7 linked regions of the Sus scrofa genome follow. The protein of the gene in region 1 interacts with the protein of each later gene in a pairwise test. Links are inferred from orthologs where the notes say so. Each region holds a gene or a part of one and is shown in the gene's direction. Other genes may lie near its edges. The genes, in order: WDYHV1, FTH1, CAPN3, GAS7, EIF2B1, RABAC1 and C6H1orf50.

The links.
Region 2: the proteins of WDYHV1 (region 1) and FTH1 interact in a two-hybrid assay, tested with the Homo sapiens proteins (2 studies listed by BioGRID and IntAct). The two-hybrid records come from large-scale screens. The link is inferred for Sus scrofa from reciprocal best matches to the Homo sapiens genes NTAQ1 and FTH1.
Region 3: the proteins of WDYHV1 (region 1) and CAPN3 interact in binary tests that used the Homo sapiens proteins (3 or more experiments, as listed by UniProt). The two-hybrid records come from large-scale screens. The link is inferred for Sus scrofa from reciprocal best matches to the Homo sapiens genes NTAQ1 and CAPN3.
Region 4: the proteins of WDYHV1 (region 1) and GAS7 interact in binary tests that used the Homo sapiens proteins (3 or more experiments, as listed by UniProt). The two-hybrid records come from large-scale screens. The link is inferred for Sus scrofa from reciprocal best matches to the Homo sapiens genes NTAQ1 and GAS7.
Region 5: the proteins of WDYHV1 (region 1) and EIF2B1 interact in binary tests that used the Homo sapiens proteins (3 or more experiments, as listed by UniProt). The two-hybrid records come from large-scale screens. The link is inferred for Sus scrofa from reciprocal best matches to the Homo sapiens genes NTAQ1 and EIF2B1.
Region 6: the proteins of WDYHV1 (region 1) and RABAC1 interact in binary tests that used the Homo sapiens proteins (3 or more experiments, as listed by UniProt). The two-hybrid records come from large-scale screens. The link is inferred for Sus scrofa from reciprocal best matches to the Homo sapiens genes NTAQ1 and RABAC1.
Region 7: the proteins of WDYHV1 (region 1) and C6H1orf50 interact in binary tests that used the Homo sapiens proteins (3 or more experiments, as listed by UniProt). The two-hybrid records come from large-scale screens. The link is inferred for Sus scrofa from reciprocal best matches to the Homo sapiens genes NTAQ1 and C1orf50.

Annotation. Positions count from the first base shown.
Region 1 is NC_010446.5:15,981,937-15,985,436, reverse strand, and holds part of WDYHV1 (protein N-terminal glutamine amidohydrolase), read left to right. Parts: intron 1-185; coding exon 186-310; intron 311-3,500. UniProt on the Homo sapiens protein: Mediates the side-chain deamidation of N-terminal glutamine residues to glutamate, an important step in N-end rule pathway of protein degradation.
Region 2 is NC_010444.4:9,533,858-9,537,850, forward strand, and holds the start of FTH1 (ferritin heavy chain), read left to right. Parts: upstream 1-1,193; 5' UTR 1,194-1,483; coding exon 1,484-1,597; intron 1,598-3,114; coding exon 3,115-3,261; intron 3,262-3,575; coding exon 3,576-3,701; intron 3,702-3,799; coding exon 3,800-3,958; 3' UTR 3,959-3,993. UniProt on the Homo sapiens protein: Stores iron in a soluble, non-toxic, readily available form. Important for iron homeostasis. Has ferroxidase activity. Iron is taken up in the ferrous form and deposited as ferric hydroxides after oxidation. Also plays a role in delivery of iron to cells.
Region 3 is NC_010443.5:128,971,925-128,975,424, reverse strand, and holds part of CAPN3 (calpain-3), read left to right. Parts: intron 1-564; coding exon 565-650; intron 651-2,536; exon of another isoform or gene 2,537-2,583; coding exon 2,584-2,661; intron 2,662-3,416; coding exon 3,417-3,500. UniProt on the Homo sapiens protein: Calcium-regulated non-lysosomal thiol-protease. Proteolytically cleaves CTBP1 at 'His-409'. Mediates, with UTP25, the proteasome-independent degradation of p53/TP53.
Region 4 is NC_010454.4:54,764,742-54,768,241, reverse strand, and holds part of GAS7 (growth arrest-specific protein 7), read left to right. Parts: intron 1-1,081; coding exon 1,082-1,210; intron 1,211-2,043; coding exon 2,044-2,167; intron 2,168-3,500. UniProt on the Homo sapiens protein: May play a role in promoting maturation and morphological differentiation of cerebellar neurons.
Region 5 is NC_010456.5:29,354,305-29,358,296, forward strand, and holds the start of EIF2B1 (translation initiation factor eIF-2B subunit alpha), read left to right. Parts: upstream 1-1,192; 5' UTR 1,193-1,343; coding exon 1,344-1,356; intron 1,357-2,786; coding exon 2,787-2,888; intron 2,889-3,992. Other genes in the region: GTF2H3 (general transcription factor IIH subunit 3), read right to left, coding at 1,053-1,065.
Region 6 is NC_010448.4:49,932,075-49,936,238, forward strand, and holds the start of RABAC1 (prenylated Rab acceptor protein 1), read left to right. Parts: upstream 1-1,364; 5' UTR 1,365-1,513; coding exon 1,514-1,569; intron 1,570-1,820; coding exon 1,821-2,033; intron 2,034-2,313; coding exon 2,314-2,411; intron 2,412-3,869; coding exon 3,870-3,971; intron 3,972-4,055; coding exon 4,056-4,144; 3' UTR 4,145-4,164. UniProt on the Homo sapiens protein: General Rab protein regulator required for vesicle formation from the Golgi complex. May control vesicle docking and fusion by mediating the action of Rab GTPases to the SNARE complexes.
Region 7 is NC_010448.4:168,665,280-168,669,410, reverse strand, and holds the start of C6H1orf50 (uncharacterized protein C1orf50 homolog), read left to right. Parts: upstream 1-1,331; 5' UTR 1,332-1,428; coding exon 1,429-1,507; intron 1,508-1,626; coding exon 1,627-1,742; intron 1,743-4,131. Other genes in the region: P3H1 (prolyl 3-hydroxylase 1), read right to left, coding at 577-1,041.

The DNA of each region.
Region 1 (3,500 bases):
GGGTTTTCAGCTGATCATTTCTCACGCTGTCTTTAACCGGTATTAAAGCAGCATGTGTATGTTTTTGTATCACAGAGTGTATAAAAAGGCCTGCGTGGTTTTGTTCATGTCATAGAACACGGTCTATGTAAGAGCTGAGTTAGGATTTCAGCTGTGATATAAAATGAATGTTGGTTTGTGTGTAGGAAATTCCGAGTGATCCGTGCAGATTCGTATTTGAAGAACTTTGCTTCTGACCGATCTCACATGAAGGATTCCAGCGGGAACTGGAGAGAACCTCCTCCGTCCTATCCCTGCATCGAGACTGGAGGTGAGCCACGGCCGCCCCCAGGGGGTTCCCGTCACTGTGCAGATGAGCGCGTTCCCTTAACCAGGGTCAGGAAGCACATTGTTCTTTGGGTAAGACCTCTGGAGAGCTAAGGAGGCAAGAGGGAGTGTCGTTCTGTGTATTCATCGGATTTAGGAATCGAGGCACGGAGAGCAGGACTGGAGGGCACCAGAACTCATGGGAGAGGAACGGTGTTAGGGCCCAAACCCTGGCACCATTGCTGGGACATTGGGCTTCGGAAGGTCTGCGTGTTCGAGTCATTTAACAGCGGGACTACAAGCATCTTGCCACGGGAGGGTTTCATGTTATGGGGAGGAAATCCCAGCGCGTCTTTGGAATGTGTGAAATGTCATTTCACTGGCTCTGTAATAAAAGCTGCCTAAGAAGGAGGTGAGAGCTAGCAGGTTTTATCGTCCCACTCATCTCATTTATGTGCTTTTAGGCATCAGTCCAAATAGTAATTCTTCCAGATTTAAGCGGATAAAGGGTTCTTCACCTCTTTCTGTTGCTTGGCACTCACCTGAAGCTGGAAACATTATTTATGATGGGAAGTAATTGGTAGCGTTGCCTTTAATTGGTGAAATCATCCTCTCACATGGATGAGGCTGTGTGAGTCAAACTGTTCTGTAAGCTGTACAGGATGCCGGAAAAATAGGACAGTGGTGTTCGGAATTCAGCAGTGAAGAGAGTAAAAAAAATATTTGGCATGTTTGAGGGGAGTGAAGACTGAAAGAGGATTCAAACTCTGATTTTTGAGGCTCTCTGTGAAAAGCTCTCATAATTTTAAAAATTTATATTGGAATTGATTTTGCCTCACCAACCGGGTTCCCAACCTCAGGGTTAGAATTGGGACAGCTGAGGTCAGGAAGGGGCCTCAGGGATCTTGCCTTCAGTCTCACTCACCAGGCTGACAGGGCCTGTGGCAGCTCTAAGGCAGAGTTTGGTGCGTAGTAGGCCTTCAGGAAACAACACCTTCTCAGCCCCTGTCCTCTGTGAGTCATTTCTTTGGGTTTGATGGCTACTACCCAGTAGGTGCTGTTTTGGGAGAGGCTTCGGTGCCAGCCCCTTTGCATCTTATTTTGGTTTAATCTTCACCACAAGAGGCAGGCTTTGTTTTCCACACTTGCCTGCCATACAGACTGGCGCACAGGCAGGTCAAGCCTGCTTCCCCAGCTGGAAGGCCTCCAAGTCCGGTAGCACCTTGTGATCGGGTGTCAGTTGCCCCCACCCTCGTGTAGCTAGCTCATCAGAGGCCTCCTGAACTTGAGATTGGAGCTCAAAGGAATCTGCTCCAAAGTGTGGGGTAAACACACTGGTTTCTCATGTCGTAATTTACTGTGTGTTCTCTTGTATGGGACATGCATTACTGCAAGCCCTGTCTTTATCAAAGCAGTATATTTGAAATTAGGTTAAGGGGGAATTACTTTCAGCTAGTTAGGGTTTTATTTAAGAAAAAACGGTTAGGAAAGAAAAAATGGTTCAAGAAAACATCACACTTCACCTCAAATATGTTGTTTAGATAGTGTGTCATTTTCCTCTTAGGTCAGTGATGTTCTGTTCATCTTTTTCAGACTTTTTCTGTATGTGCTTCATTTTCAGTAATTATTTTGCTTGTAAATTCATTGATCTTAAATCCTTTTGCGGTGCATTTTTTTTTTTCCATTTTACGTGTTTGTTTTTTCATTTCTAGATGCTCCATTTGGGGCTGATTTACTCTCTCCCCTTTTGGTCTTTGTCGTGCTCATGTTTAACTACTCTTTTGAGTAAATGGAGCCTATTTATAATCGCTGGTCCTTGTCTGCTGATTTCTCTCCTGGTTTTGAGTTGTATTTTCCTGTTTTCTTTGTATGACTCCTAATATTTGGTTGGCTGCTGGATTTTGTGCATTTCACATTGTCAGCTCCTAGATCTTGGGTTACTTTAAGAAACAGTCTTGGATTTGGTTCTGGCCCCACTTAAATTTCTGAGGGTCAGGCGGGTCCTTTCAAGGCTGGCTTGTAGGCCGTTTCCTGCGGGTTCGAGGTGGCCTTTGGCTGCTGCTGATTTAGCTTCCCCACTCTCGAGTGACCTTTCTGTGGATTCTCCCAAATGCCTGAGGGCTGGAGGGGTGTTGTTAGACTGCTTTCTGCTGCTTCTTTCCTGGACTTGTGAGATCAGTCCTTAGCCAAAGACTTGGGGGTAAAGGGCTGAGGCGCCTCTGCAGGTCTCCAGACAGCTCTCTGTGTAGTTCCCGCCTCTCTCACACTGTCCCCAGATCTAGCTGCCCTGGCCCCCTCAACTTAATTTTTTTGTTTTTTTTGGTTGCATGTGCAAGTTCCTGAGCCAGGGATCAAACCTGTGTTACAGTGGCCACCCAAGCCACAGCAGTGACAATGCCGGATCCTTAACCTGCTGAGCCACCAGGGAACTCCAGGATTTATTTTATTTTTCATTTTTTGCTTTTTTAGAGCTGTACCTGTGGCATATGGAGGTTCCCAGGCTAGGGATCAAATTGGAGCTGTCGCTGCCGGCCTATGCCACAGCCACAGCAGCATGGGATCCAAGCTGTATCTGCGACCTACACCACAGCTCATGGCAACACCGGATCCATAACCCATTGAGCAAGGCCATGGATCGAACCCGAACCTCATGGTTCATAGTTGGATTCGTTTTCACTGCGCCAGGACGGGAACTCCCTTTAGAGTCTTTTTGATATGTAGAGATTCGTAGTCCAACTCTTTTTTTTTTTTTTTTTTGGTAATTTATATGTTGGAGAAACTGAGTCTGGGAGAAAATGGTGTGGGTTTTGGTGATTGTATCTCTTTTGTGTTCTCTGAATTCCTATAAATTGGCAGTTGCCTCCAGTAAACTGGCAGTTTGCTTATTTTTACAGGTTTTCATTTAATTTTTTATTTTTGAATAACTTTATTTTTAGCCTACTAGAGAATTGGTTAAAAAATAAAACACTGCAGTTTTTCTATACCTTTTGGTCAGATCCCAGGGGAATCTGAGAAAACCATAGTGTAATTATCTAAACCAAAAAAATAATACAGTTGATACAAAAATATTGCCACAGTGCTCTTAACTTACAGACCTTATATAAGTTTTGTAATTTTTCCCACTAATTTCTTTTTTTTTGGTTTAGAATCTAACCCAGAATATTACATTTATTTGTCATCTCTCCTCACTCTCC
Region 2 (3,993 bases), on another chromosome or scaffold:
CCCCATTAAAATTTTTTTTCCTTAAGTAACATATGTACATTTGAAATGAATAAAGACCCAAGAGAAATCGCTGTAATTCCACCAGCAACTTGTTTTCCTATTTTAGTAAAGTTCCTTTAATTTTTTGTTGTAAAGCTTTTAGAAGTACAGCTTACAGTTGGACATTTGTGAATATCCTGAAAAGGGTCTTGGGTAGGTCCCCTACCCACGTGTTGAAGGGCCTGATTAAGAATCGTGGACCCTGGGGGCAGCAGATTGGGTCTGCCTAGCTCCAGTTCTGCCACCCACGAATTCGCACCCACTCAGTGCCAGGGACACTGCTGCAAGCCACACACAGTGCCCCAGCCACTCCACGTTCTCTGGCATCTGTCCTTCATGTTCCGCGCCTTCAGCTTCTCTCCAAGGACAACCCAGGGGGTGGCTCCCTGTAGAACCGCCTGAGCCTGAAGCTCCTGGGGCTTGATCGGCCATTTCAAAATGGCCTCACAGCATCCTTTTCAGATTCAAGCAGCTTCTTTCCTCCTTTTCTAACCCCCTTGGTCTCTGAGTTGTAAGCTACCGGCCGATTTTCTCAGAACCCTGGTGGCTCACGACTCCCTCGGGAAGGCAGTCTTTCGGGGAAACACGACCCGCCCAGCCTTTGTTGTAGCAACTGCACGAGGAGCCACGTACACTTTCGGCCAAAGCCGGACCGGGCCACCAGAGCTGGAGGAGGCCCGACCCCACCTGCTTTGGGCCCCTTCCTAGGTTTTGAGGAATTGAAAGAGGGCCCTTTCCCCGCCCGACCTCTGCCTCACTCCGGGCCCACGTTCACTCTCCGGGTTCCCTATTTGCATTACCAGGCACCTCGGAGTGTGGCAACTGCAGCTCTACCGCTCTGATTTTTAACATGACCTTGGCCATAAGTCTCGGGGTGCCCGCTTGGGCTCTTGCAAGAGCCTCGACGCCCCAGGGAAGGTTTCCCGTCGGTTGCAAAACCCAGGCTGTCAGAGCCCCGAGAGTCATAGAGTCACAGCCCCGAGCTGGACTTCCTGCCCTTGCTCAGGTCGTCTCTCTCATCCCACGAAACGCACCTCAAGGCGTCTGCGCGGGACGGGGTTCCAAGACTCCCAGGCTTCGCCACCCCACCCCTTCCCTCCCCTCCCCCACCATCCCAGTGCGCCTCCCCCCACCCCCGCCCGCACCCACCGGAAGGGGCGGGGCTCCGCGCGGCGGGCAGGCGGCGTGATTGGCCGCGGCGGGGCGGACGGCCGATGCCGATATAAGAGCCGGGCCAGCGCTACCTGCGCCACAGTCTTCGCGGAGAGTCGCTGCGGTTTCCTGCTTCAACAGTGCTTGGACGGAACCCGGCGCTCGTCACCCGCCCCGGCCGGCCGCTCAGAGCCAGCCCTCGCCACCTCTTCACAGCGCCCTCGGACCGCCCCAAGGCCACCGCCACCGCTCCCGCGCCGCTGCCGCCACCACCGCTCCTCAGCCTCCCGCCATGACGACCTCGTGCTCCTCGCAGGTGCGCCAGAACTACCACCAGGACTCGGAGGCGGCCATCAACCGCCAGATCAACCTGGAGCTCTATGCCTCCTACGTCTACCTGTCCATGGTAAGCGCAGGCTTGGCCGGCGGGGGGCGGGCTCGGCCTCGGAGGCGGCGGGGCGGGGTGTGGCTAGCGGGCGGGGCCTCCCGCCTCCCGCCTCTGCGCGGTTCTGGAAAATGGAGGCTGCTCCGGGTCCCCCAGGACTTCGCAGAAATTCCGAGGAGTCGGCCCTTTCCGACTGACCCCTGGGAGTGCCCCTTTGTAGGCCGACTGCCTCTGCCCGCCCACCCCCCTCCCCCCTCCCCCTTTTTTTTCCTTGCCGCGCTTGCTGCCAGTACCATCCTGCAGTTAGGAAGGTGGATTTTCGCATTTCCATTCCGTCCTCTGCATCCGATCACGTGATCCTGGGCGGAGGCGAAGAGGTCCTGCTCCCATCCCCCAGAATACGGCGGAGCCTGCTGGGTAATGGTGTCGAATAGCAGCCCTGGGGGCTGGTGTGAAGTGCTTTATCTCCAGTGGGCTGACCACCCGAACAGCCGTCTCCACCCGTTTGCTCTGCTTATCGCCAAGTCCCACTTGAATTGAAGCACATCTCTAGAAATCTCTCCTTCCGCCACAGTTGTCTTAGTCACCCGTCCTTGCGCCTGACTACCTCCTCCTTTATTCTTTTTGTCTAAAGGTTGGGGCCTAATCGAACCCTTCGTTCTTGGATAAAGTCCATCCACAGTTACAGGGCCGGCATTTTTTCCATAGAGGGGTCAGTTTTCCAAATTCCTGGTTTTAGGCGGTGTGGTAGGAGTTGTAGAATTGTCTGACCATTACGTAAACCATCCAAGAATAGGCAGGTACCAGATGGGTTTGGAACTGGCCTGGATTTCTATGACTGCCCTTCCATTTCAGGAACACCCAGCAAGGGTCTAAAAGAACCCAGTTTTGCTTTCTACTGTTATGCCTTTATATACATTGTTGCCCACAGCCGTCTACTTCCCTAGTGGGGTACTTTTAGAAATGCATCGGTCTGGCTGTAAGCTGGCAAGTTCATGTTTTAACATGGATTAATCAAGGAGGGAGAAGGAGGAAGCACTAATAGTGCGGAGTAAATACTCCACTTTCCTCTCTTCGACCAGATGTGACACTGGCTGTAAGAATTTAACTTTGGAGTTCCTGCTGTGGCGCGATGGGGTTGGCGGTGTGTCTGGAGCGTTGGGACTTAGGTTCCATCCCTGGCCTGGCACAGTGGTTTTAGGGATCCAGCACTGCCACAACTCTCATGAGGGTCACAGCTGTGGCTCCCATCTGATCTCTGGCCCGGGAACTTCCTCAGACCAGAGGCGGCCAAAAAAGAAAAAAGAACTTTGCTCTAACACAGATCCTGAGGATGTTCCATGGTGGTGGCAAGTCCTGTGATATTCTAAATGCTCCTTGTGAACATTTTTCATTTTTGCCCTTAGGAGTGAGAACTAATGACTGTTTAGTTCGATGCAGCAACGCAGCCTGCTCTGATCTCCTTAGACCCAGACCCCTTCTTGCTGGGCTTTGAGAAAGGAAGCCTAGGCTCACAGACTCCTGTTTTCACTTTTCAGTCATACTATTTTGACCGCGATGATGTGGCTTTGAAGAACTTTGCCAAATACTTTCTTCATCAATCTCATGAGGAGAGGGAACATGCTGAGAAACTGATGAAGCTGCAGAACCAACGAGGTGGCCGAATCTTCCTTCAGGATATCAAGGTGAACAAAAGATTCCAGGGTTGTCGTGCCTGATGTGTCTGGCGCTCCTCAGGTGGCAGAAGGCACAGACCTGAGCAGTTGCTCTTATCAAGACGCAGATACGTTGGGCTTGTGGCTTGTGGCTTTTGTGCTGTTGTGGGCCTATCGTCTAAAGTGGGCAGATGGTAACGGGCAAGGATAGTAAAATAGAAACTGTTGTCGGGGAAGCTTGGATATTCCTTTCGCCAAGCACAGTGCTTACACGTTAGGTGCTTGCTGACTTGGGTTTAAAGGTAGAGGCTGCAGGTGCATTGACTTGGCTCCTTCTCGTTCAGAAACCGGAGCGCGATGACTGGGAGAATGGGCTGACTGCCATGGAATGTGCGCTGCACTTGGAAAAAAACGTGAATCAGTCCCTGCTGGAACTGCACAAACTGGCCACTGACAAAAATGACCCCCACGTGAGTATTGAGGCAACCTGGGAGGAGGAGGAGGAAGTCATTTACCTCGGGGCCTGGGAAGGCTCGCCAGTAACTCTCTTCCCCGTTGTCTTTTCCAGTTGTGTGACTTCATTGAGACGCATTACCTGGATGAGCAGGTGAAAGCCATCAAAGAATTGGGTGACCACATTACCAACTTGCACAGGATGGGGGCCCCCGAGTATGGCATGGCCGAGTATCTCTTTGACAAGCACACCCTGGGGAGCAGTGAGAGCTAAGCCCTAAGCTGGCCTCCCGGAGACACGGGGTGACC
Region 3 (3,500 bases), on another chromosome or scaffold:
TTTGCTCCCATTGGGATGTCTGGCCTTCGCTGGGTCACACTGGAGACCAAAACCTCACCAGGCTTCTGTGCACAGTTGGGCAAGTTGTTCCCTATTCACAGGGATGGGTAGACAGGGACAGTCATCTGCCGTGGTCCACGAGGCAGATGGGAGGAAGGGGCATCTTCTTCTGATTGATCCATCTAGAGGGGACGTTTTCTGTAGCTCCGCAGTCAGCAGGGTGTTATTTCCCATTCATGCAAAGACACCTAATACACTAGCAAAGCCCTACATTACATGCCCCACCTCCTACCCCAAAGCTCTTCATGGCCAGATGTTCCTTGAGAAAATCATTTCTTAGAAAATGGCAAGGTGATGGCCCAGTCTGACTTCTGTGAACTCAGGTTCTGCCCCATCACCCTGCCTTTCCACAGGGAGCTTCTGATCAGTCTCCTTGACCAGGGCCAAGCAGGACATCCCCAGTATGGGATTCTCTCCCCACTCCCACCCCAGCCCTCAGGGCAAGACAGCAAACCCCTTTCCAGAAAGGACCCAGAGTGAGAGAACTTTTTCTCTTTGCTCAAGGCCCTGTTCAAGGGTGAAAAGGTGAAGCTTGTGCGGCTGCGGAACCCCTGGGGCCAGGTGGAGTGGAATGGCTCCTGGAGTGACAGGTAGGTGAGGAGACCCCACAGGGAGGGAACAATGGAGCCTGGGGCAAGGCTGGGTTAGGTACCAATCCACAAGAGTACTACAAATGCTTGGTCTAAAATTATCCTTAACACCAATGATCCACAGAGGAGAAGTGGGGCTGTCGGCTCCGGAAAAGGGCAGTAAGATCAGAGCCAGGGGGATTCTGGGATCCGGAGAGCTCACATGGCCACTGGCTGAAAAAGAAAGATTCTAGAAATGGGCTGAGCAAATCCCTGCTTCCTTGGTGCACAGTGTGTGCCAGGCCCCATGCTACTGTTTGGGGACTTAGAAATGAATGCAGAGACTTAGACCCTGACTTGTAGGCTTTCAGATCCAATGGGAAAGACAAACACTAATAATCACTGATATAAATGCTAAGGTAAGTGTCACAAAGAGGGAGCCCCTCCCCTGGCTTGGATAGGAAGGCAGAAAAAGGGTACCTGGAGAGGGTGGCATTTGACCTAAGCTCTCTGCTCGGGAAGGCCCTCGGTGCCCCATCAGTGGGCCACGCCTCTGGCCCGAGTCACCCACAGGGATCCTCGCTGTGTCCTCCAGTCTCAGAAAGTGGTATCCGGCCTTAACTCACTTTCTGCCAACACCTCTGCTGCAGGGACTGCTGACAAGTGGGGCCCAGCCTCGATCACTCAGAGGGACTCCCTTTCCCCACTGTGTCCCTCCTGCCGGTCTTAGGACTCGCCATTCCCCTCAGCATTCCCTGCTTCCAAGCACTTCCTCAATCCCTTCCCTCTCCAGGGACAACCCATTTAGTTTCACTCTCCTCCACGTGCCTGAAACACAAATGTGCTTTATTTATGTCCTCCTCCTTCGGGAGAAAGAATGTATAAAGCTGCCCAACCTTTAAAAACACAAAACAGGAGAGTTTTGTGGGGTGGCAGGGTGGAAGGAGAAGTTGACATGTTTGGGCTTTCTCTCCGTTACTCAGACAGTCACTTTGTAGATGACGAGGACTGTTCTAAAAGTTTTTCATGAGTGATTTTATTTCTTGCTCATCACAGCCCTGTGCATAGGTGATATAATCATTCCCCTTTTGCAGCTAAGACAGAAGCAGAGCAAAGGTGAAGCGACTTGCCCAAAGTTACAACTAATATTATTACATTGAAACCCCAGTTTATCTACTTCTAGAGCCCAGAGTATAACTTTTAAAGTGTTTACGAATGGTTAAAGAATCAGCTCGGAGTTCCCGTCGTGGCTCAGCAGAATCAAAACCGACTAGGAACCATGAGGTTTCAGGTTCGATCCCTGGCCTCCTTCAGTGGATTAAGAATCTGGCATTGCCATGGGCTGTGGTGTAGGTTGCAGACACGGCTCAGATCTGATGTTGCTGTGGCTGTGGTGTAGGCTGGCAATTGTAGCTCCGATTGGATCCCTAGCCTGGAAACTTTCATATGCCACGGGTACGGCCCTAAAAAGAAAAAAAAAAAAAAAAAGTATCAGCTAGAAGAGTCCCCGCTATAGCACAACAGGATCAGTGGTGCCTTGAGAATACTGGAATACAGGTTTGATCCCTGGGCTGGCACAGTGGGTTAAGGATCCAACATTGCCATAGCTGCAGTGTTGGTTGCAACTGTGGCTTGGATCTGCTCCCTGGCCCAGGAACACTGTATGCCATTGGGTGGCAAAAAAAGGAAAAAAAAAAAAAAAAAGAACCAGCTAGAGAAGAGTCAAGCCCTTATAAACCATTTAAGGAGCTTGATCTTAAACCTGAGGGTGGTAGGAATCAATGACTGGATCTTACACTGAGGGTATCAGATCAGATTTGCATTTTAATGGGTCACACTAGCTGAGATGAGTTATTCTCTAACCTTCTTCCTGTTTCTCTGATACCTCCTGCCCTAACCTATACCAGGCCTTCCCTTTCTTCTTCCTTCTATAACGCCTCCATTGTCCCTCTAGTTGGAAGGACTGGAGCTTTGTGGACAAAGATGAGAAGGCCCGTCTGCAGCACCAGGTCACTGAGGATGGAGAGTTCTGGTGAGTCCAAGACCCAGGAAGACCCTGAGGGGTAGGCGATTGGGTAGGGGCTGAAACCCTAAACCTCAAACCCCAGAGGCCATCAGGTTGCAGCCCTTGGGACATCTGGGCTCTGTTCATCTCCAGCCAGTGGCCCCGGAAGATTGAGGTTTTGGGAGGAGCCCGAGAGTCATGGTGATGACTGTGCCCAGGACCAGGCCAGCACGATGTGGCCCCACCCTCTGCCATGCACACTGCTTCAGCCACTTGCTCCCGGCCTTCATGGTGCCACTTTCTAAGCCCAGGAAGCTCTACTTACTGTGCTCATCCAGTGCCACCCTTACCCTCACTCAGATCATTTCTGCTTAGCCTTCGAGTCAGATTCAACTTTTCTTCAGGATCCCCTTGTCTTCCCTAGGACTGAGATGAATTTCTTTGTGATACTCATCACGTTTAAAATTGCTTGCTTAATTGTCTGTCCTTTCCCATCTGTGTCTCTTTTCCCTGTGCCTGGCACAATGCCTAGGACCCAGTGGAGGAGCACACAAGAAACATTTCAGAGAACTAAACTGCTGCCAAGCAATCCCATCAAGGACACACGAGTTTGAGTCTTTATTTCAAGAGATACATCAGAAATGACCCTAAAAAGGAAGGACAGGGCTCTCTCTAGGTCCATGACCAAGTTTCTCTGGATTATTTCATTGTGCTGTGTTAGCCTTGGAGTCTTACCTTTCCCAGCTTCCCATATGGGTCTCTCTTTCCTTCCAACTTCTCAGGATGTCTTATGATGATTTCATCTACCATTTCACAAAGCTGGAGATCTGCAACCTCACAGCTGATGCCCTGGAGTCCGACAAGCT
Region 4 (3,500 bases), on another chromosome or scaffold:
TCATGTGTGATCGGTGGTTTAGGACGAGGAACTCCTCTCTCCTCCAGGCCCAGGGAAAAGATAATGTAGCCTGGGGAGGGAGAGGAGAGAAATCACAGCCTCCCAGAGCTGGGATGTCACCCGTCCATGGAAGTTCAGCTCTGCTACCAGGGGGACAGGTGGAGGCCGTGGGACCCTAGAAGGCCGAGTCGGGGCCATAGGAGGCCAGTGCGGGGAGGGGCTAGGAGGCTGTGTCAGGAGGTCTTGGGAGGGCAGGTCTGGGTAGGTGGGGCTCTGAGAGGCTGAGGCTGGGGCCTCCTAGCTGTGACTCTGACCACAGCAGATCCACGTGTATCTGTTCTCTTGTCAGCTGCATCTCATGTTCACCCCCCCCCCAATTTTTAAGTAAATGTTCTCCTTCCAAAGAGAGCAGAGTGGAAAAGAGGGAAGGAATAAAAGAGAAGGAAAAAGCTTAAAACCCCAATGCCACCCAGCGCCTCTCAGAGTATAAACTCCCTCCCCTGGCCCTCGGGTGCGAGGCTGGTCTTCTCACATGGCACGGGGGTTCATCAGCCTCCATGTGGACCAGCCGGCGCAGCTCAGGAGAGGGGCCCCGGGAGCTCCCAGCACCACTGCCTCGAGCTCCGGACCTCATCCAGATCATCTGTGGTCTCAGCACCTGGCACATAGTAGGTGTTTAATAAGTAGAACCAACCTGAGATCACCCAATTAAATGTCATCCATGCAACAGTCGCTATGCTACATGCTTAGGGACACAGAGATGGTGGCTTGGTTTCCGCGCAAGAAGCTCCCAGTCTGGAAAGTAAGAGAGTCTGAAATGTGAGCAAAGCCCTGGAGGGAGCTTGGGGAGCTTAGAGCAGGTAGGGGGTGCCCACAGGGACTCGGAGGGCTCCAGATGCTAACCCATCCATCGAGACGAACGCTGGGGCCTGGCCAGCTGAGGCGACTTCCTCGACCGCGATGCGATGAGCAGCCACTTGTCTCTAACCTTCCCCATCCTCCCCCGTGGGGTGGGGGGAGCCCCCTCCCTCCACTTGCAGCTGATACCCCAGGGTCCTGAGTGTGTCTCCCCGATCAACAGCTTCACAGTGAGGTGGAAAAGCCGCTGATGAACTTCCGAGAGAACTTCAAGAAAGACATGAAGAAGTGCGACCACCACATCGCAGACCTCCGCAAGCAGCTGACCAGCCGCTACGCCGCGGTGGAGAAGGTGAGGGTCCCAGATGCCCGGCCGGGTGGGAGGGGTCCTGCTGGAGGGAGGGGGCGGGGAGCCAGAAGGGGATCCCTGTGCCAAGGCAGGGGCCTTTGTCCCCACCACCCCGCCGGGCAGGATCTGGTGAAGGTCCGTATGAGAACCCCAGCCTTAGGGCAGGTTGGCCACTTCCCCGTGGTGCTCAGATCCCCAGTGGGAACAGGCAGGGCTGCACCTGCCATGGTGGGTGAGACTCCATCCCACAGGTGAGACGAGGTGCATCCAGATTTTTGGTCTCGGAGCCCGGAGGCACTGCCAGCCCACACGTGTCCCCTTTGGGTCTCACCTGGCAGATTCCCTTCTGACTGAGTCACCCCCTTCCCAGATGCGGAGGTGGTCTGACCTTGGGAGCTGCGGATGCCAGTCATGGAGCAGGGAGAGGTCTCCCCAGAGGCTGACTCCGGGGTCAGGAGATAGGGGATGCAGGAGACGGGGGTCAACACTGCTACGGGCACCCCAGACGCTGCCGGCCACAGCCACCACAAGGCCCATGCTTTCGCAGAAAAGCTGTAATTTTAGGACCACCTGTACACATGCCAATGAAAACATGCTCTGAGCCTGCTCTGGACCAAGAGACAGAGATGAGAGGATGCTTTGCAGCCTCTGCGTGGTCCCTAGCTGCCTGGGTGATGCTGGTCTAGCTGCTTAGCCTGTCAGAGCCACTGGGACCTCATCCACAAAAGCAGGGAAAAGAAGGGACTCTTCCCTGGAAAAGGGGGAGCCAGGCCCCGGGCCCCATGGGGCCCTCCCGGCTCTGAGCCCATGAACAGTTCCATGTCCTTGGACCCCAGGCCCGGAAGGCACTCACGGAGCGGCAGAGAGACCTGGAGATGAAGACCCAGCAGCTGGAGATCAAGCTGAGCAACAAGACGGAGGAGGACATCAAGAAGGCACGGAGGAAGTCCACGCAGGCGGGTGAGTGCGACACCGTGCCCACTGCCCCTCGCCAGCTTTGCCTGGTCACAGGAGCACGAGGGGAGAGGCTGGAGGGGGGTGCCCAGGAGGGCGCATCCCACAGGATGAGGCTGTGGAGCAAGAAGCAGACCAGGCTATGTCCATACACCCCCATAGAGGGTCCTTCTGGCCAAGCCCTCTTCTCTGGTCCAGGAGGTGGACAGTCTGCCAGGCACCTGGACCTGGGGTCCTAGCCCTGCATGGAGCTCCAAGGAGAAGTGCAAACCCCACCCTCCGTCCCAAGTGATCCCACCTCCCTGGGGAGCCACACTCCAGAGGTTCTCCCAGGGCGATGGGCTTCTGCCCCAGGACAGAGGCCAGCATTTTGTTTAACGAAATAACTACATTTAGATTCTCGCCACAAGATTCGCCCAGTGAGTCAGTTTCTGCTTCCACCTAGAGGTAAAAATTAGCTAATGCACAAGGACGGGGGAGGAAAGTCAGAAACAGTTAAAAAAAAAGAAAATTGTTAAATATTTCTTAAAAAGAAAAACCATTCCACTACGTGCAAGGACAGTGCGTTTTGCTTTCTGGGGTTAAAACGTGACGTGCGCTGTGGGATCAGAGTGTGGATTAGAGGATCTCTGAACCCCTCTCACGCCACCTTCCGGTGACCCAGGTACAATTAGTTCATTATAGGATGAAGCAGCCACCTTCTGGACATGTTGAAATCACGTGGTCTAAAAATGTCATAACAAAGCAATGTCATATCAGTAGAGCATTTCACATAAAGATCTGATAAAGTTGTATTGGATCCAGAAACAGAAGGCACACTGCACTTGTTGGCAGTAGGAAGGGAACCCAAGGACGGGGAGAGACGCATTTAAATTCATTTATTAAACTCTAAAAAAATAAAACGATATTACAAAAACTGTATTGCTGCCTGGCCAAAAAAAAAAAAAATTTAAATCAGCCCATAAGAATAGAAAATCTTACATAATCACCATCTGCAGCTCCTAGTGTTTTAATGTTTTGTAATGTTTCTAAATGTTTTAATTGACGTATATCCCATCATATTATACTCTCTGTTCTGAACGCAGATTTTTAACCATCTCAGAGCCATGAATTTATTTAGCCATCCCTTCACGCACATCGGACGCCATAGGTGGTTGATGGGTGTGCAAGGGTCTGGTTGTATCCGGATGTGGGTCACCCTTCCTCTCGCTGGGTTTTGTGGGGCTCTTGGTTTCAGAGTGTCTGCCGGCCTCGGCGATGCTGTTACTGTGAACGCATCTCTGCGTGTATGGGGCTGACTCCGCATCTAGACAGGACAGACGTGGGGTCAGGAGCTTGT
Region 5 (3,992 bases), on another chromosome or scaffold:
GCCCCTCTAATGAGGTTCCAGCACATGTAATCCTATCACTCCATCTCATGCTGACAACAATACAACGAGGGACTTATTGCTATCTTCCATCAATTATAAGATATACAACCTTTTTTTTTTTTTAACATTTGACAGTTGCTGAAATCAGCATGGTATCTTACTATCATGACTGACCACATTCTATTTTCTCTCTTAGTGGTATATAAAATAAAATAAAAGCACATTTCATAATCAATATCTTCTTAGACTCAATGAAACTTCTATTTTGCAAAAGAAAGTAACTTGATCTAAATCACACGGCCTTCCAGCAAGGAGCAGAGCCAATACCCAGCTCTGAAGACACATCCGCTGGACTCTTAAAGACCGTGGCTTTTCAATGCCCCCCTGCCTACTTCTGACCGCCCACAGCATTCCCCTCTTCTAATGACAGTACTCACTAGCTCATTTTACAGTTAGCTGTGTTTCTGATCTCTCTTCCCAACTCTGCCCTCCAAACCCTGGACTCCTTAACGAGGAATGTGTAAATCACACAACAAAGTGCCTAGCACAAAGCAGCACTTAATAACTCTCACAGGCCCTCATTCCTCTGACCATAAATCTTTGGCCTTAGTTCCCATCAAGCCCCATCCCACAATTCTCAGGGCCATACGTTCCTTGCTACTATCAAGCCTGGAAAAAAAAGAAATTGTTACCTGTCAGGAGAGATGTGTAGCTATACACATGGAATGTCCCTGTGAATTTCTTTCTTTGGGTCTCCACCTCCTTATTTGTAGACAGAGACCACACCAGGTCGGCCTCCCTCACAAGATTGTTATACTGATTAAAACACTTGAAGGATGCATGGACAACTGCTACGACCCCAGAGCATAAAGAAACGCCTGGAATACAAGAGGCGCTCCAAAAATATTTACTAAATGAATGAATGCATTCGCTACTTCTCTAAAGATCAAACAGGTTCCACCCAGCCCCTAAGATAAACTCCATTTGGTTGATGCTGGCCGGGCAAACTCTGCCCAGCCCAGGGGTCCGGGTCCCGCCAGCGCAGCCCTCACCGTCTGAGACCATGGCGGCCAGTGTCCCTCAGCGTATCGGCAGCTGCTGCCAGGCGAACCTCCCAGATTCCGCTTGCCCCAACTTCCGGCGCCACCGAGTGACGTAAAAAGAGTCTTGGCTCAGGCAGCAAGCCCTTATCCACGGCCCCGCCCTCATGGCGCCGGAAGTGGAGTGCGGCGCTGCACCGCGCACTGTCAGTTTCTGTGACTTGGGGTCCGCGCGGTCGCACGACACAGCAAGACATCGCGTGTGGTTCTCGGTCCTTTGCGCTCCGCGGTCCGGAGGGCACCATGGATGACAAGGGTAAATCGGAACGCGACGGGCCTGCTGGGCCAAAGCGGAGACGCGCAGGGATCCCTTCACCTCGCACACCCAGACTGAGTTCCGAGAGTGGTCACTTTTCGAGCTCTGGCTCTTTGGCTGGATGTAGTTCTTCTGGTCACAACTAGAACCCTCTCGCTGCTCCTGTATCCAGGGAATAGGTCCTGGGGGCATCCCTGGACACCCCCTCTCCCAGGCTTCCAGTGCCCTCTTCCGAAAAAGTGAGACTTCGGACGAAGTGTGCAGGTCTTCGAAGTCTTGATTTCCTCATATGTGAAGTATGAGTTAGACTCCCTGCCCTGTTGGATCTGGTACTAGAATCAAAAGGCGTTTCTGTGTTCATCTAGTGTGGTTATGAAAGTGTTTTATTAAGTGAATAAAAATAACTAATATATAGTACCTTTCATGTGAAAAAATTAGAGAAAGGTGGACCTTTGCATACACATGCACATACATATGTATGTAAGCGAATAGGCTTTACTTGGCATACACTATCTGGAGGGGTGCAGAAGAAATCGGTAAGGTGGTTGGTTCTGGGATTCTTTTTGCACTTGGGATCAAGAATAAGGGAGAGGAGTTCCCGTCGTGGCTCAGTGGTTAACGAATCCAACTGGGAACCATGAGGTTGCGGGTTCGATCCCTGGCCTCGCTTAGTGGGTTAAGCATCCTGCGTTGCCGGTGAGCTGTGGTGTAGGTCGCAGAGGAGGCTCCGATCCCGCGTTGCTGTGGCTGTGACATAGGCCGGCAGCTACAGCTCGGATTAGACCCATAACCTGGGAACCTCCATATGCGGAAGGTGCGGCCCTAGAAAAGACAAAAAAAAAAAAAAAAAAAAAAAGTAGAAAAAGGGAATTCCCTTGAAGTGCAGTGGGTTTAGGAACTGGTGTTGCTACAGCAGCTCCGGTCACTGCTGTGGCCGGGGTTGGATCCCTGGACTAGGAATTTCCACATGCTGCTGGCACATCCAAAAAAAAAGAAAGATTAAGGGGGAGAATGACCTTTCACTATCATTTGGTGGAGCTTAAATTTTATGCCATTGTACATGGATAGCTTTTTCAAAATGACTGAGAAAGCTTGCCAATAGTAAAGTGATGTCATCTCTAGTCCTATCAAAATTGATGTGCCCCTGAAGCCAAACACCCTGCAAAGAAAATATATACATTTATATTTTTTTTCTTTTTACAGCCAAAGCTTGCAGCAACACCAGGTCTGTAACCCACTGAGGGAGGCCTGGGATCAAACCCACATTTTCACAGAGACAACGTCAGATCCTTAACCCACTGGGCCACAACAGGAACTCCAGAAAATAATTTTTAAATTAGCTTGTTTTTTAAGCTCAGCAGTCATTGATAAACTCTTGTCGTCCATCCCAATAAATCACCTTGATAAGCCACTGTTTTATCCCTTCGCAGAGTTAATTGAATACTTTAAGTCTCAAATGAAAGAAGATCCTGATATGGCCTCAGCAGTAGCTGCCATCCGGACTTTGCTGGAGTACTTGAAGAGAGATAAAGGTAAAGAGTGTCATCCTCAATCACTCTGGGTGTGAGGAAAGTCTGCTCATCACCATTAGAAGTGTAAAGCGAGAGATGTATATAAGATGCCTGCATAAGGTGCCATATGCTCAGCTTCTCCCTTCATTTCAGTCCTCTTAACATGAAGAGAGCTCTCTAACTATCATCAAATGGGGGGCATTTCACAAATGAAATTTGTTCTGAATCAAGAATGACCATTTTATACCAAGTTACTATGAAGCTTAAATTATAGCAGTAGTTCAACTTTACTAGTGTTTATTGAGCTTCTGTCTTGTGACACATTCTGTGCAGTTGCTATAGAGAATGTTCCAGTATAAATTCTGGTTTTCATGTCATCATTGTGATTACTACTAATTCACGCATCCTAAATGTGAGTATCTGGGTATAAGCAAAATAATAATAATAGTAGAGCCTTCTTTAATGTAAAGGGCTGGCCCAGGAGTGCTGTGGTAGCCTAGCAGATTAAGGATCTGGTATTGTCACCAAAGTGGCTGGGGTCACTGCTGGGGCACAGATGTGATCCCTGGCCCAGGAACTTCCATATGCCGAGAGCAGCAGCCAGAGAAACCCAAAAACAAATAAAAAAAAAATTAAGGGCTGGCCTAGAGATGCATATCTCTAAGACAGCATCCAGTATCTATGACATCTAAACACCTAAGCCTTACCTGCACCACCTCGCAGGCCTCTCCTGATGCTGCTATTTAATTTCCTTCCATACTGTCCCTTACTGAATTATGCTTCCCTCTGGCCTCTTTGTTTCTCATACTACGTTTGTTCCCATCTCTGGGCCTTCAATTTGTTATAGTTTGCATCTGAGACTTTTCCCACTGGATCTCTATGTGGCTGGACCCTTTCTTACCCAGGTCTCTGTTTAAATGGCCCACTCCAAGAGGCCATCCCTGTTTACTCTGTCTAAAGTAGCTCCACTTTTTTCATGATTCTGCCTTTTTTTCCCATCATTTCTGCTCCTTTCAATCGTAATTAACTTGTTCCTTTCACTGAATGCTTATTTACTTTCCACCTCTCCCACTAGAAAGGGAATTCCTAAGTTCCCTCTGGCACAATGGGTTAAGAACCCAGCTG
Region 6 (4,164 bases), on another chromosome or scaffold:
CCAGCAGCAGCAACTACGTTACAGACATATTTGAGAAGGCTGAACTCTAGAAATAATCATAACATTCATGACAATGTAGTGGCAAAAACAACATCACCATTTATTGAGTGGTTATAAAATAGCAAGACTCTTTCAAGCACTTCACATGGATCATTCAACCCAACCTTAACCCATGAGTGTGGAACCAGGATGATCTTCACTGTCCAATGAAGACAGGGAGTTGATGAAATCAACACAGGCTGGATTTTGACCTCTGACCCAAGAAATCCAGTTCTTTTAGTTGTAACTACTCCGTCTTTTAAAAATTCTCAGAGTTCCCATCATGGCTCAGTGGTAACAAACCCAACAAGTATCCATGGGGACGCGTATTTGATCCTTGGCCTTGCTCAGTGGGTTAAGTGTCTGGCGTTGCTGTGAGCTGTGGTGTAGGTCACAGATGTGCCTCGGATCCCGCCTTGCTGTGGCTGTGGTGTGGGCCAGCAGCTGCAGCTCTGATTCGACCCCTAGCCTGGGAACCTCCACATGCCACGGGTGTGGCCCTAAAATGACAATAAATAAATAAATAAAAATTAAAAATTAAAATCCCTCATTCCCCTCAATAAAACTGGAATAAAAAAAGATTAAAAAAAAAAAAAAACAACTCACCCCTTTACTTTCCCCTACTTCCCTTTACCCTCTCCATAGCAGGGGCATCCTTGAGGTCCTAATCCTAACCCATCCATCCTTAGGAGCCCAGAGTTGTGGGGGAGCTTTGCTCCCCATCTTAGATAACCCCCTTCAGCAACCATGGCCCCCTCACTAGCCTTTGAAGAAGGATGGAATGGATTCCTACAAATATTCTACAGTCTCACTATTCAAATGTGGTCCATGAGTTCCCTGGTGGCTCAGGATCCCCCACTGTCACTGCTGTGCTAGGGTTGCTGCTGTGGCTAGGGTTCGATCCTTAGCCAGAAAACGTAGCATGTCCCCACCCACCCCACTCCCTGCCTGCCACAAAAAAAAAAAAAGAGCCAGTGAATGGGTCTCACCCCAGATCTGATAAATCAGAACATCTGAGTGTTTAATCACGGTTTTTTTTAATATCCTTAGAGTCAGAATGACAGCCCTACACAGTCCCCACTGTACAGAGACTGCTCGGGGTAGTACACGACGTCTTCTGCCTTTACACTCCCCCGACACCCTGACTCCTGACAGCTCACTTTCTCTGACCTCGCACGTCCTACCTTTGAAACTACAACTCCCACAATGCCCCCGAGGCACCCACGTCGCTTTACGCGACTACATCTCCCAAGGTGCTCCTCGAGCCATGCAGCCACCAGGGCGCCTACTCTCCCCGACATCGTCAGGACTACAACTCCCATAATACTCCGTGACAAACCTACCGCCCCCAGCGGCGCCGGAACGGCGCCACGTCCCCTCCGGCCACTTCGAGTGAGGCCGGTTTCGGGCGGGGCCCGTGGGGTGTGGAGGGCCCCAGCCTCGTTACAGCGGTTCTTCCCCTCACAACACAGACATGGCGGCCGAGAAGGACCAGCAGAAGGATGCCGAGGCGGAAGGGCTGAGCGCCACGTAAGCAAGTCTAATCTAGCCCCCCTGACCTAGACCCGAGAGTCATGGCTTCTCGCCCCTCATCCCTGGGGAGTTAGGAATCCGGACTCCTGGCCCCGGCTCAATCCCTTCCTCCCCTGGAATCCAGGAGTCCTGGACCATATCTCCCCCGCCCCCCAGAACCCCGGAGTCCCGCTCCCCTCGGCCCCCTTCTTGCTCGGGGGTCCGGGCTCCAACCCGGTCTACCGCTGACCTGGTCCCGCACCCCCCAGGACCCTGCTGCCGAAACTGATTCCCTCTGGCGCGGGCCGTGAGTGGCTGGAGCGGCGCCGTGCTACCATCCGCCCCTGGGGCTCCTTCGTGGACCAGCGGCGTTTTTCGCGTCCCCGCAACCTGGGCGAGCTTTGCCAGCGCCTCGTACGCAACGTGGAATACTACCAAAGCAACTATGTGTTTGTGTTCCTGGGCCTCATCCTGTACTGCGTGTGAGTGTCTCTCTGGCCAGAACAGCCCCCCTCAGCCAGGCCCCGCCCCCGCCAGGCTGCCATGTCTGCACTGGCCAGGCCCTGTCCCCATGGGATAGCTCTGTGGGATCTTTACCCCAGAGGACCAGGTCCCTACTCCATCAGCCTGGCTGGGATGCAGGGGGACCAAACATGACCTAGACTTGCGTGGTCCTAAGGACGTCCCCAGGTGTAGAAGGTCAGGGCCTTCGTGTCTGACGCAGCCCCAGCGGCCTGACTGTGCCTCCCTGCCCTCCTCCAGGGTAACATCGCCCATGCTGCTGGTAGCTCTGGCTGTCTTCTTTGGCGCCTGTTACATCCTCTATCTGCGCACGTTGCAGTCCAAGTTTGTGCTGTTTGGTGAGAAATCTGCCCAAACTCCTCTGATCCTGGCTCTTTGAATCCAAGCCTTAGACCTCAAACCTGAGTCCTTTTGAACCCAAGTCTGCCCAATCCTAGACCTACAGTAGATTCCCCATACCCACACCTGATGCTCCTATCCACTCTCAGTCCCCCCAAATTGCTGTTTCCCAAACCCAGAAGATATCCAAGAACCACTCCACCTAGCCGCTGGCCTTTTAAACCTCCTCCTTCTCTCTCCCTCATCTGCCAAAAGCATCAGCTGCAAGTACCCACATTGGACGCCAGGTGGCGACTTTACTCTAGCCTAAATCTGTCCTCCCCCTTTCGTGCTTCCTGGGATGGGAGTAGAAAAATCTTGGGACTTCTCAGAGGGAAGCTGAGGCCTGTGGCTCATGTGGTCCTAGACTGGCACCAAGCACCACTGGGAAGAAAGAGGGCCTGAGTTCCCAACTAAGGGAAACTCAAGGTTTGGAGTGGAGATAAGGGGGAGTTGGAATCAAAGAAACAGGTAGACCTAAGACAGAATCCATCAGAAGCCTGCCAGTTATGTATCTGGTAAGGGTGGGCTGGGTGGAGGAGCATGTCAGGCGAGCACAGGGCACAGAGGGAGCGTCCAGAGCATAGTCACAACTTGTCTTCAGCCACTGCTGCCGCCAGGGTTTGCAAGTCTGACTTTCCAATCTGCCACAAGAAGCCAGATGTCTATACAGCCATCTCTCAGCTTTTCTAGGAGCCCCCAGATTTTGGATACCCAAATCCGAGGATGCTCAAGTTGCTGATGTAGCAATGATGTAGTACAGTGACCCACGGGTGCCCATCTGCGGATACAGAGGGCCGACTGTATTGCTGTGTGAAATCATTCTGTCTGTATGTCAGCAGCAAATCAACAAATCGTGGCTCAGCGGTTAACAAGCCTGACTAGGTTCCACGAGGATGCGGGTTCGACCCCTGGCCTCGCTCAGGGTGTTAAGGATCTGGTGTTGCCGTGAGCTGTGGTGTAGGTTGCAGACGTGTCTCGGATCTCGCGTTGTTGTGGCTGTGGATCTGATTCGACCCCTAGCCTGGAAACTTCCATGTGCTGTGGGTGCGGCCCTAAAAAGCAAAAAAATTATTGTGGAATAATATGCAAACTCAAAAAACATGTCTAGGTGTCAGCCTGGGCCTTTGGGATGCCAGTTGGAAAACCCAGGTCTATGCGAGGGCAGGTTGGAGCAGGAAAGCTGTAGTTTGGGGAGGGAGAGTCTGGGAGCTTCCTAGCAGAAGTAAAGTTGAAGGGTGGAGGGCGGTGGGGGGGATTACTGAGGAAGGTGCACTGTTTCAGGGGACAGTGGGTGGGGACGCTGGGGAAATGGCTGGGGCCGGACTTGGAGGGCCTTGGCATAAGGCATTTTGGGGGTTACTCTGGGAGAGGGGACAGGTGTGGAACAGCTGTCCCAATGCCATCTGCCCCCCCAGGCCGAGAGGTGAGCCCCGCCCATCAGTATGCCCTGGCCGGGGGCGTCTCCTTTCCCTTCTTCTGGCTGGCTGGCGCGGGATCCGCCGTCTTCTGGGTCCTAGGTGAGTGAGTACAGGGTCTCGGTGGCGCGGTGGGCAGTGGGGGCCGGGGAGGCAGCAGGCCCTGAGCTGCCCGTTTTCCCCCAGGAGCCACCCTCGTGGTCATCGGCTCCCACGCCGCCTTCCACCAGATAGAGGCTGTGGACGGGGAGGAGCTGCAGATGGAACCTGTGTGAGGTGTCTTCAAGGACATGTC
Region 7 (4,131 bases), on another chromosome or scaffold:
ATCAGAAGCGCTCCACATCCACGCATACACTCGGACTTAAAACCCTGCAGGCCGGAATTCCTAAAAATGCTAATTTTCTTTGGAAACCTGACAAACCGGCCAGAGGGTCCCCCACAGGGAGGGGCCTGACAGCCCCTACTGGCGACGTGGCAACCTCAGGTCCTGAAAGAAAGCTCCGCACTCGGGCAGCAGGAAAAGCATCACTGAAAAGCGAACCGGAAGGAAGATGTTGTAGAAAGGTCCTCGCTTCTCACTCGGGAACTTACAATGAAATCAGGATCAGAGACCCAAGCTGCCGCTGTAGTTCCCTCTCAGGGCCTGTTAGGGAACCCAAGGCCAAGTTTTGGTCGGTCTGTGCCTTCACCTCAGGGTGGACCTTTGGGGTCACCATCAGCCTACGCGGACCGGCCGAGGCTGGTCTCCTGCGAGGGTCCCAGCTCTCCCAGGGTCCTAGGAGAGCTTCCCGGCCAGGAGGCCACGGTCCCTCTCCGCGGACACTTCCCCCCACCCCCCATTCTCCCTGGCCCGCCACGCCCGGAAGGACCCCGGCCTCCCCGGGCCCGGCCGGGTCTGCACCTTGAAGTAGGCGACCTGCAGGTAGTTGTACGGGCTCCGCTTGCGGAACTCCAACTCCAGCTCCTCGCTGAGCGAGTGCGCCGCCGACGGCCCCAGGCAGCGCCGCAGACAAGCCGCGCGGCGCAGCAAGCCCCCGAAGAAGCGCAGGTCCCGCAGGGCGGCGGCGCCCGAGGCCTGCGCCAGGCTTGGGGGAGAGTCCGGCTCCAGCTCCCACGGGAGGTCGGCGGCACACTGGGTGCGGCAGCGCAGGCGGAGGGCGCGCAGGGCGGCCCGCGAGCGCAGCGCCCGCTCCATGCTCAGCACCACCCCGGCCCAGTCCCCGCGCGCATAGGCCGCGGTGCCCTCCGCGAAGAGCAGATCCGGCGCCGTCATGTCCCATCCCGCCTCGGATTCGGCCTCTGCTCGGGAGGCAGCGGCGGCGACAACCCACAACATGGTCAGCAGCCTCAACGCGCGTGCCGCCATTGCGGCCTCGGACCTAACGGGACCGCGGGTCACCCTCCGGGGAGGCCGGAGTCCCACCCCCGGGAAGCCCCGCCCCGCCCCGCCCCGCGGGAGGCCCCGCCCCGCCCCGCGGGAGGCCCCGCCCCGCGGGAGGCCCCGCCCCGCGGGAAGCCCCGCCTCCCCACCCTGCAGCTCACACCCCGGAGGCTTGCACCGCGGCCTTCGCCTTCCCCGAGCCTGGACCCTGCCCCTCTGCGGGCCTCGGTGAGTCCGCAGGAGCCCCGCCCCCGAGCGCCCGGCGGCCGTGACGCCCAGGGGCCGGGACGCGGGAGCTCCGCCCACGGGCCTTTCTGCGCAGGCTCCGCAGCCCTGCGCCGCCGGGGCCGGAGGCTGGGACCTGGCGCTGCCATGGAAGACGCTGCGACGCCCCGGCCGACTCCGGGGGTCACGGAAAACCGAGGCGTTCAGTCGGCGGCAGGTCGGGGAGGTAGGCGGGGCGGGAGTCGGAAGGGGCAAAGAAGCCCGCCCGGAGCAGCGAGTCTGCCCGGCCCCGCGGGAGGCCGAGGGCGGGCGCTCACGGCCTGTGTTCCTGGGTGTGTGTCGCAGGAGCCCTGGTGGAGCTCAGCCCGACCCCCGGCGGCCTGGCCCTGGTGAGCCCTTACCACACCCACCGGGCCGGGGACCCCTTAGACCTCGTGGCGCTCGCGGAGCAGGTGCAGAAGGTGAGGAGGCGCGGCCGGGGACGTCAAGGACCATCTTCGGGCTCGCTTGGCCCCCCCAAGCCAAACTGTGGGGTAGCATTTGTCCTTATCTCCGTTCTGCACGCGGGGAAAACTGATGGTCATTGCGAGTCGGTGGCCTGACTCGAACTCTGACCTCCTGAGACCGAAGACCCCTTCCGCGGCGTCTTGAGGGCCCGTTATCTCCCTCGATGGGAAGGTTTGCAGAGCACCCCGATACTCACGATTTCATCTGGGTCTTTTATGGAGAACATCTGTGTGTCCGTTTCATCTGATCACTTGTTGGGAGGGATGCCTGCCACCGACTTTCATTGGCCATAAGGTGCTTCCTTGTCTTTGGAACAAAATGCACATACATATTTCATGGCCTATAAAGCCTTGCACCGGAGTTCCCGTTGTGGCTCAGTGGTTAACGAATCCGACTAGGAACCATGAGGGTGCAGGTTCAATCCCTGGCCTTGCTCAGTGGATTAAGGATCCCGCATTGCCCTGAGCTGAGGTGTAGGTTGCAGCCGAGGTTCAGATCCCGCTTTGCTGTGGCCCTGGCGTAGGCCAGCAGCTACAGCTCAGATTTGACCCCTAGCCTGGGAATCTCCATATGCTGTGGGTGCCACCCTAAACAGACAAACAGAAAACCTGGTTATTGATTCAATTCTTGGAAACTTTTAAATGTATTTGGAACAATTTGAGTATGCGAATCAACTCAACTGTAAATTTTATGGTCTCAATACAGATCAAGTTTTTCCAATGAAAATTTAGCATTCAAATTGATAGATGCTGTGAATATGAAATATACACTTCATATGAAATGTAAAATATCTCTCTAACAATTTTTATATTGATTACATGATGAAATGATGTTTTTTGATATATTGGGTAAATATATTATTAGGATTGATTTTACTTAATTTTTACTTTTAACATGTTCACTAGAAAATTTAAAATTACAGATGCAACTTGCTTCCTATTCTAAAGGATAGTTGCATCAGACTGTAACCTTAACGAAGGCAGGGACCTTTTTCTCATGTTTGCCGGTGCATCCAGGGCCTAGCATGGTGTCTGACACCCAGCAGCTGCTAAGTATATGTTGGTGGAACAGACAAACGCCTGACTTGGCTTAGTTGTTTCTGTTCACTTGTAACACTGGATTATACCTGACTCTTACCTTAAGCTTCCTCAACTAACCAGCAAATTCTCTTAGTATTTATTAGTTCAACTTCTTCTTTTGTTTAACTTAATTGTATACCACTGGAAGTTAATCAGCGTTTCATGAAAGTAACCTGGGGAGTTTTTGACAGCTTTCTGATGTGGTAATCCTTTCCAGTACATGAATTGGTCACATCATTCTCCTGTAGCTTTGAAAGTTATTTATTTTAAGCAATTTCCAATGCCTTCAGTTTGGTTTCCTAGCACATGACTGATAGTAGCATTGTTTCAAGTCTGCATTATCGTGCAGTCTTTTCTTTTCTTTTCTTTTTTTTTAATGGCTGCCCCGGTGGCATGTGGAAGTTCCTGAATCAGGGATTGAATCTGAGCTGCAGCTGTGACCTGTGCCACAGCTGCACCAATACCAGATCCCTTAACCCACTGTGCCGGGCAGGGATCAAACTGGCACCTCTGCAGTGATCTGAGCCGCTGCAGTCAGGTTCTTAATCCACTGTGCCACCCCCATAGTGCAATCTTTAAAAAATGCATTTTAAGTAACAATTAGGAATGCAAATATGAGATGAAGTATAATTGTGATATAAATAAGTCAACTGATGTAGTGGTCAGATTACACATATTACATTAATATGTAGTTAGGTTCCTGTATAGCAGCTGCTAAGTGGCAAACCACAAGTATCTTTGGATTTTCATGGTAAGACCCACACCCAATTTCAGAAATGTTTAAACATGAGAAAATAAGTAGAGACCGGAGGAATAAGTAGGGTTAAGCAAAAGAGCAAGAGGGGAAATGGATGGAGGAGAGGGCCTATTCCATATTATTTGGAAGCAAGAGAAAGCAGGGCGTGTTGGAGGACTGAGAACTCCCCTCCACCCCGCTTTTAGGGCCGCACCTGCACATAGGAATTCCTGGGCTGGGGGTGGGATCAGAGCTGCAGCTGCGGGCCCATGTCACTATCGCAGCAACGCCAGATCCAAGCCACATCTGCGACCTGTGCTGCAGCTTGCAGCAACGCCGGCTCCTCAATCCACTGAGCGAGGCCAGGGATCAAACCGCATTCTCCTGGATACTAATCCGGTTCCCAACCCACTGAGCCACACCGGAAGCTCCAGAGGACTGAAAACTTTGAGTGTGGTTGGAGTCTGGAGTGAAGCAGGTAGCACTCTGGGAAGTAGGAAAGGAGCACTCACTTCCACGGTACAGGTC